2 linked regions of the Xenopus tropicalis genome follow. The protein of the gene in region 1 purifies or fractionates together with the protein of each later gene. This does not show direct contact. Links are inferred from orthologs where the notes say so. Each region holds a gene or a part of one and is shown in the gene's direction. Other genes may lie near its edges.

Region 1 (3,816 bases):
TAAGGGAATAATTGGGAAGTGAGTATATTATATACCTGTTCAGGTGCCAGCTTTTTGGGCCTTTCTCCACCAAATGAATAATGCTGGGTAAGAAATATTTATTTAGCCTGTGGATTTTTTTTTTTTTGCAGAGCGGAAGCACAATCCATCATCTCATCATTCAACAACGGACCATGTATCGGAGAAAAAGTTTAAATCTGAAGCATTGCTGTCAACTCTAACTTCAGATGCTTCCAAAGAGAACACAGCAGGTATAATTCATTCACAATGTAGTACAGGTATGGGACCCATTATCCATTATTATTGCTTCCAATAAGAATTAATTGTATCTTAGTTGGGATCAAGTACATGGTACTGTTTTATTATTACAGAGAAAAAGGAAATAATTTATAAAAATGTAAATTATTTGATTAAAATGGAGTCTATGGGAGATGGCCTTTTCATAATTCGGAAAATTTATAGATAATGGGTTTCCAGAGAAGGGGTCCGATACCTGTACTGTTATATGAATTTGTTAATGCTGCATTACAAGCAAGAGTGTGGAGTCCTTAGTTCTATTAGAGAATGTATCTGTTTGCAAAAATAACTTCCTGCTATATTTCATACTATCCCATATTATGCTAAAATAGCTACATTACAAGTAACAATCATTTTTCCCACCAGAAACCTCTAGAGAGTATAGTTAAATATGCACCTTACATTCCCCTGATAAGCATCTACATTTACAGTAACACGGATAAGTATTTAACGCCCTTGGTCTTTTCACATTATGTTTTGTTACAACCTCAATTTTTTTTTTTTTTTTTTTTTAATTTTTGTCATCTTCTGCATTTTTTTAGTTATCAGATGGAGATGGGGTACACTGACCATAGCATCTAAAAACTGTTGTTCTATGAGGTTACAATTTTATTGTTTTTACTTTTAATTACCTTTCTGTCTAATAGGGACATCTCCTATTCATCTTCCAGCCTTTCATTTCTCATTTAAACCACTGCCTGGTTGCTAAGGTACATAGGGTCATAGCGACCAAATAACTGCTGAAATTCCTCTGTTAAACGAAAAGCTAAATAACTGCAAAATCACCAAAAATTAAAACTATTTGCAAATAGTTTTAAAATACGAATGTCTACATCATATTAAAAATGAATTTAAAGATGAGCCACCCTTTTAAAATCAGAGCTTTGACTGGGCCACTAAAGGACTCTTTTTTTTTTTTTTGTTCTTTAGCCACTTCAATATTACTCAGTCTTTGTGATTGGATCCATTGTCCTGCTCAAAGATTCGCTTTCTCCCACAATTTTTAGCAGATGAAAGTTCTTTTGCAGTATTTTCATCTTGAAACTCTTAAAACTCTTGTTTTAACAAGATGTTTAGTGCCAGGTTGTAACACAAAAAAAATGTTAGGGGAGGTTGAATATTTATGCAAGCCACTGTAACAGCCCCCTGTTGAAAGGACCCAGATTTAGGGGCTGATTTACTTACCCACGAACGGGTCGAATGGAGTCCGATTGCGTTTTTTTCGTAATGATCGGTACTTTGCGATTTTTTCGGATTCTTTACGAATTTTTCGGATCCAATACGATTTTTGCGTAAAAACGCGAGTTTTCCTATCCATTACGAAAGTTGCGTAAAAAGTTGTGCATTTTGCGTAGCGTTAAAACTTACGCGAAAAATGCGCAACTCGCGTTTTTACGCAAAAATCGTATTGGATCCGAAAAATTCGTACAGAATCCGAAAAAATCGCAAAACATACGAAAAAGTCGCAAAATATTCGTTTTCAAGTCGGAACTTTTCCAATTCGGGTCGGATTCGTGGGTTAGTAAATCAGCCCCTTAGTGTTGGTTTTTACTCCATTCCTTTTTTGCAGTGCCTAAGTAAAGCTTTTGCATATTACATCATTTAATGTGTGTAACATTTTTAAGAACTTTATTTTCAAAGTAATAATTTTTCGGTTTTAATATATTTTTCATTCTTCTAGGTTGTAGAAATAATCTGTCTTCATCTTCTACCAACAATGTCTACAATGTTAATGCTTCCCAGCCATTGACCTCATATAATATAAGTTCCCTTTCAACTGGGGCTGGAGCAGGTGCAATTACCATGGCAGCAGCTCAAGCAGTTCAGGCAACTGCACAGGTAAGTATTGCATATTGTAGTGTCAATTATTTTAGAAGATAACAGCTGAAATTCCACGCCGGAGAGCTTCTGAATCTTCTGATTGATGCACGTTGATTGCTTGTGTGCTATGTAATGCCATTTATTTGATTGTGCAAACACTGCATGTTAGTATACATGTAATCAGTGTTTCCAATTAATGTGTTCTTAGATGAAAGAAGGAAGAAGAACCTCCAGCCTTAAAGCCAGTTATGAAGCCTTTAAAAACAATGACTTTCAGCTTGGAATCTCTTTGTCTAGAGATTCTGCTACTTATTCATCCTCAGCACTAGCATCAACGTTAACCCAGACATTAACATCATCTGCAACAACAGATTCAAGAAGTGGTAGAAAAAGCAAGTAAGTTAATTTGCCTTGAATTTTGATGGAGGAAAGCTCATTTAAAGGAACAGTAACACCAAAAAATTAAAGTGTATAAAAATAATTAATATATTATGTACTGTTGCTCTGCACTGGTAAAAGTTGTTTGTTTGCTTCATAAACACTACTACAGTTTATATAAATACCCTGCTGTGTAGCCATGGGGGCAGCCATTTAAATTGAAAAAAGGAGAAAAGGCACAGGTTACTAAGCAGATAACAGATAAGTAGCATAGATTCTCATTGTATTCTACTCAGTTTATCTGTTATCTTCTTATGTAACCTGTGCCTTTTCTCCTTTTTTCAATTTAAATGGCTGCCCCCATGGCTACACAGCAGGGTATTTATATAACTATAGTAGTGTTTATGAAGCAAACACACAACTTTTACCAGTGCAGGCCAACAGTACATAATATATTAATTATTTTTATACACATTCATTTTTTGGTGTTACTGTTCCTTTAAATGCATTCATGTAGTGTATTAGCTATTGCATTTCACTTCACACTTCTTAGTTAATTGTTCTGTAATTTTATATTTGCATAACCCTTCTCTCCACTGGTATTGATGGACTTCATTTTACTATTAGTGGGTGCAGAAGTAGCTTGGATAAATTCCAGATGTAGATCCTAGTTAACTGCTGTTTTTAGCAGTGATTGGAAAGTGTGGAGGCTTACTTCTTGTTTACATTGAGAAGCATGGAATCCCACAGACAGAGCACCATTTAAGTCAAACATAAATTATGTGATAAAAAACAAAAAAAATCTTTGGTATATTTTAAAGGAATACTGTCACGGGAAAACATTTTTTTCTTTCAAACCACATTAGTTAATAGATCTTCTCCAGCAGAATCCTGCATTGAAACCTGTTTTTCAGAAACGCACGCAAGATTTTTTTTATACTTTTGAAACTTCACTTGAGGCTAGCCATGTTCCTAATTTCCCAGGGTTCCACAGCCATGTGACCTGTGGTCTGTCATTTAACTGCTGCGCTGCAGGTTGGAGTGATATCACATCACCCCCCCAGCAGCCGATCAGCAGGACAATGGGAAGGTAGCAAGATAGCAGCTCCCAGTAGATATCAGAATAGCACCCCAGGGCCAAATGGTCCAATTAGCTTACATGTAGGTGGGGATATCAGGTGAAGATCGGCTCCCTTGGTGACCTTTACTTGGGAGTTTGAGAAACAATAGGTTACCTGAAAGCATTTCTAATGTGTAGCACTGGCTCTTTCTGAAAGCTCAGATACAATGCGCTGAGATGGCTGCCTACAAAAAAAAATA
Region 2 (4,615 bases), on another chromosome or scaffold:
GCCCCGGGGGCAGCCATTCCTGCACTGGTACAGCTGGGGTGTTTGCTACAGAAACCCTACTATAGTTTATATAAATACCCCGCTGTGTAGCCCCGGGGGCAGCCATTCCTGCACTGGTACAGCTGGGGTGTTTGCTACAGAAACCCTACTATAGTTTATATAAATACCCCGCTGTGTAGCCCCGGGGGCAGCCATTCCTGCACTGGTACAGCTGGGGTGTTTGCTACAGAAACCCTACTATAGTTTATATAAATACCCCGCTGTGTAGCCCCGGGGGCAGCCATTCCTACACTGGTACAGCTGGGGTGTTTGCTACAGAAACCCTACTATAGTTTATATAAATACCCCGCTGTGTAGCCCCGGGGGCAGCCGTTCCTGCACTGGTACAGCTGGGGTGTTTGCTACAGAAACCCTACTATAGTTTATATAAATACCCCGCTGTGTAGCCCCGGGGGCAGCCGTTCCTGCACTGGTACAGCTGGGGTGTTTGCTACAGAAACCCTACTATAGTTTATATAAATACCCCGCTGTGTAGCCCCGGGGGCAGCCATTCCTGCACTGGTACAGCTGGGGTGTTTGCTACAGAAACCCTACTATAGTTTATATAAATACCCCGCTGTGTAGCCCCGGGGGCAGCCATTCCTGCACTGGTACAGCTGGGGTGTTTGCTACAGAAACCCTACTATAGTTTATATAAATACCCCGCTGTGTAGCCCCGGGGGCAGCCATTCCTGCACTGGTACAGCTGGGGTGTTTGCTACAGAAACCCTACTATAGTTTATATAAATACCCCGCTGTGTAGCCCCGGGGGCAGCCATTCCTGCACTGGTACAGCTGGGGTGTTTGCTACAGAAACCCTACTATAGTTTATATAAATACCCCGCTGTGTAGCCCCGGGGGCAGCCGTTCAAGCTGGAAAAAAGGAGAAAAGGCACAGGTTACATAGCAGTTAACTAGTAGATAAGCCCCATATAGTGGGTGTTTATCTGTTATCTGCTTAGTAACCTGTGCCTTTTCTCCTTTTTTCCAGCTTGAACGGCTGCCCCCGGGGCTACACAGCGGGGTATTTATATAAACTATAGTAGGGTTTCTGTAGCAAACACCCCAGCTGTACCGGTGCAGGAATGGCTGCCCCCGGGGCTACACAGCTGCTTATTTATATAGTAGCTTTTCTGTAGCAAAAACACCAGTTTTTTGCAGAGCAACAGCACATTATATTTTAATTACTTTAAAACACTTTAATTAATGTTACTGTTCCTTTAATACTAAAGGTAATATATCAGCTGGGTGCAGTTACCAAACGTGCCCACTGGGTGCCGCTGTGTAAGTGCAGCGCTTACTGTTCCAGCCTGATAGCGCTCAAAGTAATAACATGTTTGGCTGCCGCTGGCCACAGAGAGTCGCTATGGAAGCTGCAGATGCGCGCAGTGCGGTTGGGGAACACTAGGTGGCGCTGCTCATGTGTAACATCAGTCGTTCGCTGCGCTGTCGTTTGGCTGAGTGCAGTACTGCTGGTGAGCACTAGATGGCGCTATTGCACTAGGCACAGTGCCGCTGCTGGATACCGTTATGAGCGGAAGAGGCTGCTGCCCAATAGACGCCCCCTGTTGTGCTGCTATAGATATTGCGCTACAGTGCAACACCCATGGTGTCCGCTAGGAGTCGCTGTCCCCCGCAGTTTCCCCCCATTGGCTGCAGAGATGGGGGATTTAGAGGCCGGGGAAACTACTGTGGAAAAACCCGAGCCTCCCCCTGCCCCCCCCGCGGAAGAGCCGGTGCTGTGGAGCCCGGAGGTTGAGGTGTGTCTGTTCCATGCGATGCTCGGCCACAAGCCGGTCGGTGAGTGGAGGCCGCGGCCCATCCCCGGACTCGCGTAATCTGGGAACCCGGGAAGGGGGGGCTTCCGGTCCGGGTGGCGTCGGGACATGGCGGCCCGGGGCGGGATGAGGGGCTCTGGGTGTCTGTACCTGGGGGGGTAGGGGCACTATATCGGGCACTTTGGGGTTATTGTACCAGTGAGTGTAATTACACCGCAAAAGTAAAGTCCTGGGCAGTAACCTATAGCAACCAATGGGATCTTTGTTTCTATTGTTCTCTGCGGCTGAAAGAGAATCGCTGATTGGTTGCTCTGGGCTTTTGCTGCAGATTTGCCCCCTGTGTATAAATACATTCTATTTGGGGGGTATTTGGGCAGAACTAGGGGGAACCCTAATAACCATGTGACTACGGGACTCATTAACCCTTTGGCAGACGCAGGGCACAACTGACTCTTCTTTTTGCCCCTCGCAGGCGTGAACCGCCACTTCCACATGATCTGCATCCGGGACAAGTTCAGCCAGAACATCGGGCGCCAGGTCTCATCCCGAGTCATCTGGGAGCACCTGCGGAGCATGTACGATATGCAGGCCTTGGTAGGTGGCCCCGGGGAATGGGGGGGGCATTTCCTTACACTTCCAGGTGAGGTAGCCCCGCCCCCTGCTGTTTGCTCCACCCCTGCGCCCCCCTAACCTCCTGCCGTTACTTTCCCGTTGCAGCACGAGTCTGAGATTCTCCCCTTCCCAAACTCGGAGAAGAACTTCATTCTCCCGGAGGATCTGATTCAGGAGGTGAAGGAGGGTGAGTGTCAGCCTTTGGGTCCAGTTGCCCTCTGGGTACTGACCTAATGCTCTCTGTACCCCATTACTAACCTTGTGCCCCCCCCCGGGGCCCCCATACAGCCGGGCCCTAAAGGTCTGTGTCCCCTCCTCCTCTCTGCAGGGAAGGTGACGTCGGAGGAGGAGCTAAAGGAGGAAGTAAAGGAGGAAGTGGAAATACACGGCGGCTCGGATGAAGGTGGGAAATATTGGGCTGAGGAGCTTGCAATCTGTTATTCAGCTTCCCAGCCTCGGCCCCTGAGGAGTCTGTAGGGGCAGCGCTTAAGGGGGCGGTTCCCCTTTAAGTTAACTCTTAGCATGCTACACAATGATCAGTTCTAAGCAACTTTTCAATTGGTCTTTATTTATTTTTTATAGTTTTTGAATTATTTGCCTCCTTTCAAGTTTTCAAATGGGGGTCACTGACCCCGGCAGCCAGAAACCTATTGCTCCGTGAGGCTCCAGTTTTATTGTAACGTTTTTGTAACTTTTTTTTCTATTCAGCCCCTCCTCCTATTCATATACCAGCCTCTCATTCCCTGGTTGCTAAGGTAACTTGGACCCCAGCAACCAATTAGCTGCTAAAATTCCAAACTTAAATAACTAAAAAACTACAAATAATAAAAAATGAAGACCAATTGCAAACTGTCTCAGAATATCCCTCTCTACATCGTACTAAACGTTAACTCAAAGGGGAACAACACCCGAAGGTGCAAGTTTTGGGTCTTCCAGAACCGTTTCAGCCCATTTCCGGAACCAAAAATACACCTCTATCATTGTCTCTATTGGAACACGGCAGGGGGAGGGGAGACTTGACCAATTCTTCCAAGTGCATTGTGGGTAATGGGTGGTTTCTTGGTGGCTTCAGGGGGTCGGAACTTCATCTCTGTTGCCATAGTAACATTTCAGTCATCGATATCCTCATTGTCAAGGGGAGGAGCTTCCTGTACCTGTATAAGTGCATTTAGCAGGGGGCAAACAGTATAGCCACCTGGGGGCAGCAAGTTTAGCAGTTGCCCCAGGCAGATAACATAACCTGGGTGGGGGCTTCTGTGGGGTATATACGTGAGGAGGGGTAGATTTAAGGGGCAACAGGCCCTGCCAGATGCCTCACTCATGGGTATTTCCTTCCTCTGCAGCTTTTGTCAACTCTGGGAATTCTGGGAAAGGGCTGGACAAAGCCCCCGGGAAAGAGCGGACCCTCTCGGAATCCAGCTCCAAGGAATCGGGGGACAAGCGCAAGCGGAGCCGGCTCACCGAGAAAGTGCAGAACGCAAACAGCAACCCGTCCAGCCCGAACGCCAACAAGCGCAGGCGCACATAGGGGCGGGGCTGAGAGAAGGGGTGTGGCTTCCCAAGGGGTCAGAACCGGCCCGCGTGTAACTGAACTAATGGGTTGTGTGAGAGTCAGAACATTCTGCCCCGGCTCTGGGGCAGTAGCCAGTAGACTGTAGATCTCAAGGATGTAAATATTTTTAGGGGGTATGTGGGGGGGGGGGGTAGTGAATCTACATCCGCGGGGGCTGGGCAGACTGTGGCCCAATCAAACCCTCGTTAATCTACTGATGAATAAATCAATTCATTTCCCAACCCCTCTAATCTATTAGCCACGGGCTGACCATCTTTTTTATACCCCCCCCCCCCCAAAAATCAGCTTTGGAACGTTCCACTTTGCTCTTTCATAATGAATTAGGCACAGTCAGCAGCCTGGGGCCCCCCCAGAAGGTTCCTCCAGGGAATGGGGGGCTCTGGCTGTTCCCCACTATAGAGTCTCGGGGGCTGTCCTGCGAGTGATTCAGGGAGTTCAATGAATTTATAATGAACTTTCAGCAGACGGACAGGGGATCGATTCCCGCCGAAGGATGTCGGGATTTTACCCTACAGGGGGCAGCAGAGGTCTCTCCGGGTATTTAAGGCAGTTTTTATAATAATATTTTTAATGGATTTTATACATAAAGTGTTGGACAATGTAATCGCCTCCT

What was found.
Region 2: the proteins of ing3 (region 1) and mrgbp purify together in Homo sapiens (co-immunoprecipitation; 4 studies listed by BioGRID and IntAct, counting the BioPlex papers as one, with this or other methods). This does not show direct contact. The link is inferred for Xenopus tropicalis from reciprocal best matches to the Homo sapiens genes ING3 and MRGBP.

The regions. Positions count from the first base shown.
Region 1 is NC_030679.2:69,347,951-69,351,766, forward strand, and holds part of ing3 (inhibitor of growth protein 3), read left to right. Parts: intron 1-131; coding exon 132-251; intron 252-1,978; coding exon 1,979-2,136; intron 2,137-2,326; coding exon 2,327-2,514; intron 2,515-3,816. UniProt on the Homo sapiens protein: Component of the NuA4 histone acetyltransferase (HAT) complex which is involved in transcriptional activation of select genes principally by acetylation of nucleosomal histones H4 and H2A.
Region 2 is NC_030686.2:2,537,848-2,542,462, reverse strand, and holds mrgbp (MRG/MORF4L binding protein), read left to right. Parts: upstream 1-1,661; 5' UTR 1,662-1,700; coding exon 1,701-1,839; intron 1,840-2,289; coding exon 2,290-2,411; intron 2,412-2,534; coding exon 2,535-2,616; intron 2,617-2,757; coding exon 2,758-2,832; intron 2,833-3,772; coding exon 3,773-3,957; 3' UTR 3,958-4,603; downstream 4,604-4,615.